Linked DNA regions of Macaca mulatta. The protein of the gene in region 1 interacts with the protein of each later gene in a pairwise test. Links are inferred from orthologs where the notes say so. Each region holds a gene or a part of one and is shown on either strand. Other genes may lie near its edges.

The links.
Region 2: the proteins of USHBP1 (region 1) and CEP68 interact in binary tests that used the Homo sapiens proteins (3 or more experiments, as listed by UniProt). The two-hybrid records come from large-scale screens. The link is inferred for Macaca mulatta from reciprocal best matches to the Homo sapiens genes USHBP1 and CEP68.

What each region holds. Positions count from the first base shown.
Region 1 is NC_133424.1:17,735,585-17,740,329, reverse strand, and holds the end of USHBP1 (harmonin-binding protein USHBP1), read left to right. Parts: intron 1-826; coding exon 827-933; intron 934-1,121; coding exon 1,122-1,244; intron 1,245-2,734; coding exon 2,735-2,924; 3' UTR 2,925-2,996; downstream 2,997-4,745.
Region 2 is NC_133418.1:59,657,799-59,664,254, reverse strand, and holds the start of CEP68 (centrosomal protein of 68 kDa), read left to right. Parts: upstream 1-2,554; 5' UTR 2,555-2,668; exon of another isoform or gene 2,669-2,672; intron 2,673-6,456. UniProt on the Homo sapiens protein: Involved in maintenance of centrosome cohesion, probably as part of a linker structure which prevents centrosome splitting. Required for localization of CDK5RAP2 to the centrosome during interphase. Contributes to CROCC/rootletin filament formation.

The sequences.
Region 1 (4,745 bases):
CCGCCTCCCGGATTCAAGCAATTCTTCTGCCTCAGCCTCCCAAGTAGCCGGGATTAAAGGCGTCTGCCACCGTGCCCAAATGTTTATTTATTTATTTATTTATTTAGAGACGGAGTGTTGCTCTGTTGCCCAGGCTGGAGTGCAGTGGCACAATCTCGGCTCACTGCAACCTCCGCCTCCCAAGTTCAAGCGATTCTCCTGTCTTAGCCTCCTGAGTAGCTGGGATTACAGGGGTCTGCCACCATGCCAAGCTAATTTTTGTATATTTAGTAGAGACAGAGTTTCACCATGTTGGCCAGGCTGGTCTTGAACTCCTGACTTCAAGTGATCCACCCGTCTCGGCCTCCCAAAGTTCTGGGATTACAGGCGTGAGCTACCACACCTGGCCCCTAAATTTTATTTTTAGAGATGAGGTTCGAGACCAGCCTGGCCAACATAGTGAAACCCCGTCTCTACTAAAAATACAAACAGTAGCCAGGTCTGGTGGCATATGTCTGTAATGCCAACTACTTGAAAGGCTGAGGCAGGAGAATCGCTTGAACCTGGGAGGCAGAAGTTGCTGTCAGCCAAGATCGTGCCACTGTACCCCAGCCTGGGTGGCAGAGTGAGACTCTGTCTCAAAAAAAAAAAAAAATTTTTTTTTTTAAATTAAATAAGATATTTCCCTTATCAGAGTGTAATTTCGCTCTTATTGGGGTATGGAACCAGACGGGGGTCTCTGAGAGCACAGCAGCTGCCACTGTCTGGGCAGCTTCAATGTCCAGTGAGGGCCAAGCACGGACTTGGCCCAGGTTAATGTCACTTTGTTGTCTTCTCTCTCCCTTAGGGCCTTCCTGCTGTCCCTGGTGGCACCAGTGGCATTGATGGTGGCCAGGTGGGCAGGGCCTGGGACCCAGAGAAGTTAGCCCAGGAACTGGCAGCATCGCTCACCAGGTGTGTGGCTGGGTGGGGATGGGCAGCCTATGTGACAGCCCCCGGGGGGGCTGTCTGCAGCAGAAGCTAAGGTGTACCCCTGTGTACAGGTGTGTTTACATGACAATACTGTGGGCAGGTGGGTAGGAGGAGACGTGGGAAATAGGATGGGCTAGGGCTGTGAGCCCTCCTCTTCCCCTTCGCAACAGGACGCTGGACCTGCGGGAGCAGCTGCAGTCTCTGCGCAGGGAGCTGGAACGGGTGGCTCAGAAGGGGCGAGCCAGACGGTCTCAGAGTGCCGAGCTGAACAGGGATTTATGCAAAGCCCACAGGTGGGACCCCTGTTCTGCATCCCTCCAATCCCCCTGGCACCATCCCCCACCAGGATCTCAGAAGTATCCCTGGCTCTCTCTGGGCCTTAGCCTTCCCCGCTGCCCCAAAATAGGCAATAAAGGCCAGGCACAGTGGCTCATACCTGTAATCCCATGTTGGGAGGCTGAGGCTGGCAGATCACCTGAGGTCAGGAGTTTGAGACCAGCCTGGCCAATGTGGTGAAACCCCATCTCTACTAAAAGTACAAAAATTAGCTGGGCATCTTGGCACATGCCTGTAATTCCAGCTACTTGGAAGAAAGGAGAATTGCTTAAACCCAGGAGTTGGAGGTAGCCGTGAGCAGAGATCACACCACTGCACTCCAGCTTGAGCGACAGAGCAAGACTCTGTCTCAAAAAAAGAAACAACAGGCTGGGCCAGGCACAGTGGCTCATGCCTGAAATCCCAGCACTTTGGGAGGCCAAGGCGGGCAGATCACCTGAGGCCGGGAGTTCGAGACCAGCCTGACCAACATGGAGAAACCCCATCTCTACTAAAAATACAAAATTAGCCAGGCGTGGTGGCGCATGCCTGTAATCCCAGCTACTTGGTAGGCTGAGGCAGGAGAATCGCTTAAACCCGGGAGACAGAGGTTGCAGTGAGCCAAGATCAGGCCATTGCACTCCAGCCTGGGCAACAAGAGCAAAACTCCATCTCAAAAAAACAACAACAGGCCGGGCGCGGTGGCTCAAGCCTGTAATCCCAGCACTTTGGGAGGCCGAGACGGGCGGATCACAAGGTCAGGAGATCGAGACCATCCTGGCTAACACGGAGAAACCCCGTCTCTACTAAAAAAATACAAAAAACTAGCCGGGCGAGGTGGCGGGCGCCTGTAGTCCCAGCTACTCGGGAGGCTGAGGCAGGAGAATGGCGCAAACCCGGGAGGCGGAGCTTGCAGTGAGCTGAGATCCAGCCACTGCACTCCAGCCTGGGCGACAGAGCCAGACTCCGTCTCAAAAAAAAAAAAAAAAAAAAAAAAAAAAAAAAAAAAAAACAACAACAAGAAAAAACAGGCTGGGCACAGTGGCTCACACTTGTAATCCCAGCACTTTGGGAGGCCAAGGCAGGCGGATCACCTGAGGTCAGGAGTTCAAGACCAGCCTAGGCAACATGGTGAAACCCTGTCTCTATTAAAAAATACAAAAAAATTAGCTGGGCATGGTGGCGGGTACCTGTAATCCCAGCTACTTGGGAGGCTGAGGCAGGAGCACTGCTTGAACCCAGGAGGCAGAGGTTGTAGTGAGGGGAGATCTTACCATTGCACTCCAGCCTGGGCGACAAGAGCGAAATTCTGTCTCAAACAACAACAACAACAACAAAAAGACCAGTTAGCTGGGACCCTGGGAGACCCAATGTGAAAAAGCCCCCATTCTGGGAGTGGGAGTACATGGCCCCTGCCTTGGGTGGAGTCGGGGGCTATTTCTTGACCCAGCCCACCCACCCCTTCCAGCGCCCTGGTCCTGGCCTTGCGAGGAGCCCACCGGAAGCAGGAAGAGCAATGCCGGAAGTTGGAGCAGCAGATGGCACTCATGGAGGCTCAGCAGGCTGAGGAGGTGGCGGTGCTCGAAGCCACTGCAAGGGCCCTGGGGAAACCCAGGCCGCCCCCCCCGCCTCCCCAGCTTGGGGATACCGTTCTGTAGGCCCCTTACCCAGCCATGTCTGGACATGCCAGACCGCTGTGGCATGTCATAAACTATCCTGGAGTGACATCATGTCATGTTGCATGATTTGGCATGTTGGGGCACATTTGGCATGAGGGAAGCTGGTGCACATGGGTGTCCAGGGCCTGATGGGTGTGGCCACGCAATGCAGAAAGACTTGGGTGTCTTTGGCCTGGCACCAAGTGGAATGTGAACTTCACATCAGTGGGGTCAGGCCAGAAGCAACCTGGGCTGTGGGACCAGGTCTCTGGGACTGACGAATTTTGGAGGTCCGTGAGGTTGCATAGCCACAGCTGAAGTTCCAACTGGCCTGTCTCCTGAAGCCCAGGGAGGGATTCATGGGGACTGGACAAAGCTTCTCCTGGCAGCTCCTTCCCAAGGAGATGCTGGGTTTGGCTGGCAGATTTTCCTGAAGGGGGCCGGGCGCAGTGGTGCACGCCTATAATCCCAGCACTTTGGGAGGCCAACGTGGGTGGATCACTAGAGCCCAGGAGTTCAAGACCAGCCTGGACAACGTGGTAAAACCCCATGTCTACAAAAAAAAAAAAATACAAAAATTAGCCAGGCATGGTGGCATGTGCCTGTAAAGCTATCTAGGAGGCTAAAGTGGGAGGATCACTTGAGCTTGAGAAGCAGAGGTTGCAGTGAGCTGAGATCACACCACTGCACTCCAGTCTGGGTGACAGAGTAAGACCCTGTCTCAAAAAAACAAAACAGGCTGGGTGTGGTGACTCACGCCTGTAATCCCAGCACTTTGGGAGGCTGAGGCGGGGAGGATCACCTGAGGTCAGGAGATTGAGACTAGCTTGGCCAACATGGCAAAACCCCTGTCTCTACTAAAAATACAAAAATTAGCTGGGTGTGGTGGTGCATGCCTGTAGTCCCAGCTACTCAAGGAGGCTGAGGCAGGATAATTGCTTGAACCCGGGAGGCAGACATTGCAGTGAGCTGAGATCACGCCACTGCACTCCAGTCTGGGTGACAGAATAGGACCTTGTCTCAAAAACACAAAACAGGCCGGGTGCGGTGGCTCACACCTGTAATCCCAGCACTTTTGGAAGCTGAGGCGGGCAGATCATGAGGTCAGGAGATGGAGACCATCCTGGCTAACACGGTGAAACCCCGTCTCTACTAAAAATACACAAAATTAGCCGGGCGCAGTGGCAGGCACCTGTAGTCCCAGCTACTCAGGAGGCTGAGGCAGGAGAATGGCATGAACCCAGGAAGCAGAGCTTGCAGTGAGCCGAGATCGTGCCACTGCACTCCAGCCTGGGTGACAGAGCGAGACTCCGTCTCAAAAAAAAAAAAAACAGGGCCAGGCACAGTGGCTCACGCCTGTAATCCCAGCATTTTGGGAGGCCAAGGCGGGTGAAGGCGGGTGGATCACAAGGTCAAAAGATAAAGTCCAACATAGTTAAACCCCATCTGTACTAAAAATACAAAAATTAGCTGGTCGTGGTGGTGCATGCCTGTAATCCCAGCTACTTGGGAGGCTGGGGCAGGAGAATCACTTGAACCAGGGAGTCGGAGGTTGCAGTGAGCCGAGGTTGCGCCACTGCACTCCAGCCTGGTGACAAAGCGAGAGTCCGTCTCAAACAACAACAACAGGCCGGATGTGGTGGTTCATGCCTGTAATCCCAGCACTTTGGGAGGCCGAGGCAGGGAGGATCACCTGAGGTCAGGAGTTTGAGACCAGCTTGGCCAACATGGTGAAACCGCCGTCTCTACTAAAAATACAAAAATTAGCTGAGTGTGGTGGCGCATGCCTGTAGTCCCAGCCACTAGGGAGGCTGAGGCAGG
Region 2 (6,456 bases), on another chromosome or scaffold:
CTAAAGTCTATCAGTGATGCTTAACTTTACAATTTAGTTTACACATTGCAACGATGGGATGGGATGATGATGAAACTGAAAGGAAGAATGGAACATCACTTAACAGAAGTTGGACTTCGGCCAAATACAATAAACGAGGAGATTTTGAGATGCCCTGCTTTGGGGAAGGGATAAGTAAATTCTGTTGTAGGAGAGATCCTCGCATTTTGTTGGATGGCAGCATTTTCATTTACCTTTGAAAGCACTTCTGTGAACGCTGGGCAGCCTAAGAGACGGCCTATAGTGGAGCAACTTTTGGCAACCCAGCATCTCATTCTTCTCATTTGAGGGGAGGCCCCCACACACTGAGTCTTGCTATGAGGCTAGGCCTCCCTGACTAGAAGCCACAGGAGAAACCAGAACTCTATTTGCCTATTAGCAATTGGAACGCAGGCACATAACCTAGACTAGGCCTAGTAAATGGTCCTTCCCAAAACTTGAATCTTGAGCGAGAAGAGTTGAAAAATAATTCATGTCACCACCAAAGGAGCTGGCATGCACCCTAATCAGAGTACCAAAGCAGGATGGCTTAGCTGGTTCCTAATATTTCCAGACCTGGTTCTCCAGCATTGCTGGTGCAAGGAGTATAACTACAGACAGCTCCAGGCCTATTTTTCCCATGCTCAGAAACACCAGAGGAAAGAGCCTCTTTCTCCCACCCTCATTCTCTAAAATCCCTGACAAGGGCTCAGATCATCTTAGGTTTGGTCATGTGCACATCCCTGGGGAAATCTGAGAACAAGAGGAGGGAGACTATAGTTGGCCAAGCCTGGGCTCCACACCTCCCCTTCTCCACACCCATCCTGCCTCGAGAGGCCAGAGAAGTGTGGTGCTAAAGAACCATCTGATCCAGGGGACTGCAGACAATTCCCCAAAGGAAAGTTTTCCCATCAGGCAAAAACAAAAGCTGCTCACAACACAAAATTACAGAACGTCAGAACCAAAAGGAACCTTGGGAATCCTTCATCCTATCCCCTCTCTTATAGATTGGGAAACCATAAGGATATGTATGCCTGTTTGGACTTTGTACAGTTCTCTGTTCAGCAGGGGTGACTTGGCTGTGGGATTAGGTGACTCCACTGGAGGTCTTCTGTGTATAGAAAAGATCTAGGGTCACAAACACCAATCCCTTCGGGTAGACAGCAAATGTGTGAAGGCTGGCGGTTACTTAATGGACCAGTGGTGTTGGTGGGATTCAAATTCTTATTAAAAAAACAAAAGCAAACAAACAAAGAAAACCTATGTGATGCCCAAATAAAACCATCTGTGGGCTAGATGCTGCTGTTGTCAAAAGTTTGTGACCCGTGGGTTAGACAAAACCTCTGAGCTGTCCTGACAGGTCTGGGAAAACCAAACAAGTCCTTGTCTCCTAAACTACCTGGGACTCAAGAGCTCTGCAGGAAAAAATTTGTACCCTGCACCCAGCTGGGGTTGACATTTACAGACACCTGTTTTATGAATTGAGGAGATATTCAGCAGAAGCCAGATTGTTGAAAGTGCTGCTGAGAGAAAACCATCAGAAGGGAGGACTCCTTCCCCACGCCAGCTAGGTGGTAGTTCCTCTATGCCTCCGGATTCTGCTGAGCAGTAAAAGCTAAAGGGCAGTGTCATTAAGCTCCTAGGGGACGGGATGGAGTGGCTCACGCCTGTAATTCCAGCACTCTGGGAGGCCGAGGCGGGAGGACAGTCTGAGTCCAGTTCAAGCCCAGCCTTGGCAACACAGCAAGATCCCATCTCTGCAAAATAGACAGATAGATAGTTAGAGATATATGAAAGCTCCTAGGTCTCATGCTGGCGGGTGACAGAGTGTGCACCCTGGCCTCCCACAAGCTGCCTCCCACTTCCCTCTGACTCCATCACCAATTTCCCATCAGAGCAGGCAGCTCGGAGTCGCTAAGCAGCTCCCAGTTCATTTTCCACACCCTTCCCATTCTCTGCGAGCCAGAGCTCCACCTCCCCCCGAAGCTGGCCTCAATCACCCGGCCTGGGGAGCTCCCCTCGGCACTGGCTCCCCGCCTCGCCCCACAGCACCTGTTCGGGCCTCGGTCGCGCCGCCGGGTCTCGCAGATGCGAATGTAAACAGAAACACAGCGAAAGGAGGTGGGACCACCTCGTGGCGCGGCGCGTAGAAACATCAGTACGTCCAGAGCAAAATGAACGAATGTACGCATGACTCCTGGCGCGACCTTCATGCGGGAAAGCGCGTCCCCCGGCACCCACCCTTAAGCGCCCCAGAATGACCCGCCCTTGCACAACCCGGCTCTCAGGCGAAGCTGAGGTCGGAGCTCCAAAAACGAGGGACGACAGCAGCTGAAGAAGTCCCGGCTTCCCATAGGCCAAGACGAAGTAGGGGGCGGGCTCATCTTGCAGAAGCGTCCACGTATTGGTCGAGCCCCGGCTGAGGGTTGAGATTGGCTGCGCAACACTGCCGAACGCTCTCTCGCGGAGGGAGAAGGGGCGGGAAGAAGGGTGTGCTCACCGCGTCCGAAGGGCGTGGTTGGCGCTCGGTCCCGCCCTTCGCGTTTCGGGCTGCGGTTGGAGGGCCGCGGTTGCAGTCAGGGCCCCCAGCTTGGGGCCACCGCATGGGGCTGCTGAGGCCGTTCCGGATGTGCGAAGCGTTCGCGGTGCGGTAGGTAGGCAGCGTCCCGCGCTCTGGTGCTGGTGTCCGGGGTGCCCGCGGCACTGGGGGCGGTGGCCGGGGCTAGATCCGCGCGCGCAGCCCGGCCCCCTCCGCCCCTTCCCTTCGGTGCCTGCGGGGCCCTTGCGGTGCGGGCCGTCTGGCCTCGCGTCCCCGCCGGCAAGGGCACAAAGGCTCCCTGGGGGCGGGGGCGCCTCGTGCCTTCGCCTCCATTTTGCGGGCGGAACAGCGTGTGTTGTGGCGGCCGAGGGGTCGGGGCCGAGGCGGGCGGCTGGGCTTGGGAGTGCCCGGGCGCGGCGAGGGAGCGCGCGAGTCCGCGCATCTGGTGGCGGAGCAGCTGCGCTGCTGGTGGTCCTGGGCCCCTGGGGAGGTCACTTTCCCTCAGGCCTCTGCCGAGCGTGGGCTGTTTACCCAGCTACCCAGTCGGGACTAGTGCAGCGCGGGCCTTTCCCTCTCGAAAGATGGAGACCAGTGATGTCTTCTTATCACCGTGGATGCTGCAGCGCCCAGATGCGGAGCGAAAAAATCTAGATGTCTCTTTTTTTTTTTGCCTCGGAGAGCTACCCTTTCTAACTGTCATCACTAGAACAGTTCTCAGCAGCCTGGGGACGAATGTCCAAAACCTGTTCCAGCCCTTGATGATTAGTAGTTTGGGTTTAGTGTATTGTTTGTAACAAAAATGAGCGGAAACCTGCCAGGGCAGATTGGACCTCCCTGGGAATTCATCAGGACCACGAAGGGAGGTAGCATTTGTAAATAATCTAACAGTCCTCAGATCTAGGGTATGGAGAATGTTGTGTTAAAGTGCGTGACAAAGGGTGTTGAGTCAGTTTGCTTTGGGTTTAGTTGAAAGATCTAGAAGTCACCACTTTTTACTTTGTTCACTCCATTCCCCTTTCCCACCCTCTGTTGAGTCAATTCTGGCCCACTTAGAAAACAAAACAACAACAACAAAAAAAAACAAGGAATTCAGTTTAAGCTCTTTTGCAAAGCTTTCGAAGGCACTTACTCACCCTGCGACTGATAACTCCTCCCTGTTCAGGGCTACCTTCTCCGACCTCTATTTTTACACATCACACTGTATTGCGGTTTCCCCAGCCCCTAGCACAATGCTTGGAACATAAAAGGCACTCAATGATGGAAGGAAGCCAAAAGGAAACAAAGTCAGCATGGTAGCCCAAAGGTGACACAACAGAAATATTTATTTAACTTCTTGAGCCAGTTATTCTTACAGGTTAGGAAGGCAGCTAAGCTCAGGCTTTCTAAGTCAAACAGACTTTAGCTCTGCCATGTTACTAACTCTGATTAAGTTTGTTTGTTTGTTTGTTTGTTTTAATGGTGATGGGGTTCTTGCCATGTTGTCCAGGCTGGTCTTAAACTCCTAGGCTCAAGCAATCCTCCTGCCTCTGCCTCCCAGAGTGCTGGGATTACAGGCATGTCATTAAGTTATTTAACTTCTCTGTGTCTTGGTTTCCTCATCCTGAAAATGGGAATAGTAATAGTACCTATGTGATGGGTTATGAGGATTAAATAAGATATTAATGTAAAGTGCCTACCATAGTTCCTGGCACAAAGAAAATGATCTGTAGCTGTTAGCTGTTAGCAGTTGTTAGGAGAAAAATAAATGGATACTTGAATACACTCACTAATATGAAATATCTGTATAGTACTTGACCTTTCAGGATCTCTCTGCTTTTTGGTCCTTATCCGATCCCTTTTTTTGAGACAGGGTCTGACTCCATCACCCAGGCTGGAGTGCAGTGTCATGATCTCAACTCACTGTGACCTCAGCCTCCTGGAGTCAAGAGTCCCTCTCACCTCAGCCTCCCAAGTAGCTGGGATCACAGGTGCACATCACCACGCCCAGCTAATTTTCTATTTTGTTGTAGAGATGATGTCTCTCTATATTGCCCAGGCTGGTTTGAACTCCTGGGCTCAAGCGATTACAGGCATGAGCCACGGTGCCTGGCCCGTTATCTGATGGCGGATTTTTTTCTTTTTTTGAGAGGGAGTTTCACTCTTCTTGGCCAGGCTAGAGTGCGGTGGCACAATCTCAGCTCACTGCAACCTCCTCCTCCCGAGTTCGAGCAGTTCTCCTGCCTCAGCCTGCCAAGTAGCTGGGGTTACAGGCGCCCACCACCATGTCCCGCTAATTTTTGTATTTTTTGTAGAGACAGGGTTTCGCCATGTTGACCAGCCTGGTCTTGAACCCCTGACCTCAGGTGATCCGCCCACCTCAGCCGCCCAAAGTGCTGGAATTACAGGCATGAGCCACCGTGCCCAGCCTGATGGCTGATTTTTAAACATCTCTTTAGCCTTTGCTGATTCTCTTTCCACAGTGAAAGTATTCCATAGAATATTATCTGTTTATGTGTCTGGAGTCTCACCACCAGCTAAAGATTGATTCGGTGCCAAATAGCAGTTTGGCCAAGAGTTACAGTTGTACCTGATACACTCTTAATGGGGTCTGGTACCTGAAATGGTCATGTAAAATCAGAGGAGCCAAATAGATTGGGGCCTCGTATGGCTGACAGAAAATCTTTACATGGTTGATCCATCCAGATAGAAGCAGAGCTTATGGAGGTGGACTCTCCTTATAACTTAAATTTGTTCTCATGAAGAAACTACTGTCTTTAATGTTGTTCACAAACATTGTGAAAAGCCCAAGAAGTGTTCCTGTTGGCTTTAGACCTGTCTGCCAGCTAGAGGTGTCAGATACAACCCTTGGGGGACACTGCGTCACTTCCAGGTTTTCCTGTACCACTTTCTGGTTACAGGAAACAGGTTAAGTTGCACATTTCCTTGTAGCTGTAAGCTCCCTTGGCATACCAGTTTATCTTAAATTATTTCCAGTTTCCAGAACAAATACCTTTCCCCTTCTCACCTGTAACTGGCACAGGAGAATTTCAGGTCTGTGATTCTGTTTTTAACATAGCCACCGTGAATCTCAAATTCTTTCTAGGGAATATTATTATTTCTGAGGACTCCCTTCCAGCTGTGGTATTCTATAATTAGCCATTAAAAACCTGCCACAAGGTGTAAGCCTTTTCTAATGTCCTTTTGCAGAGGCCTTGAAGACAAGGACCGTAAATTTTCTTGTGTGTAACTGGCATATAGGCACCCAAGGAATGGTTTTAAAGCTATTTTAGTTGTTCCTTCTCAGGGTGCTGAAACAGCCTTACTTACCAACCCAGTGCTTCTGAAACATTGTGCTTACCAAGTTATCTGGAGATACTGCTAAGCTGCAGGTTCTCATTCCAAGGTTCTGGGGTAGGACCTGAGAATCTGCATTCCCTACAAGCTCTGAGGTAATGCAGATGCTGTTGGTGCTGGATCACACTTTGATAGTGAAGTACTAACCCGAGTATCTACATTTGCTTTGTAGAAGTATTGGGTAAATGGGTTTTATTTTCTTATGGTATTGGAATAAAATCTTGGCTTTAGGAGCTTTTTTCTATTTTTTGTTTTAACAATTTATCTTGTTCAAAAAAAAACTATTCGAGGAATTGTTCCAAGATACTTTGATATAACAGGATTTTTAATAAAAGCAATTGAGGCACATGGAGTGAAAAAAAAAAAATAGGAGAAAGTCAAGGGAGAGATTAGCACAAAAAGGCAAGTACCTCTCTGTCCTGTGCATTTTACTCAAGTGAGATTGTGTATTTGGCCCTGAGCTTTGTAGCAGCCAAAGCAGAGGGAAATTTTTTTTTATCAGTTTTGCCAGTACTTACAAAGTGAAAATGTCTGCTGAGTGGAGACAGCTGTTTCTGTTATTGAGG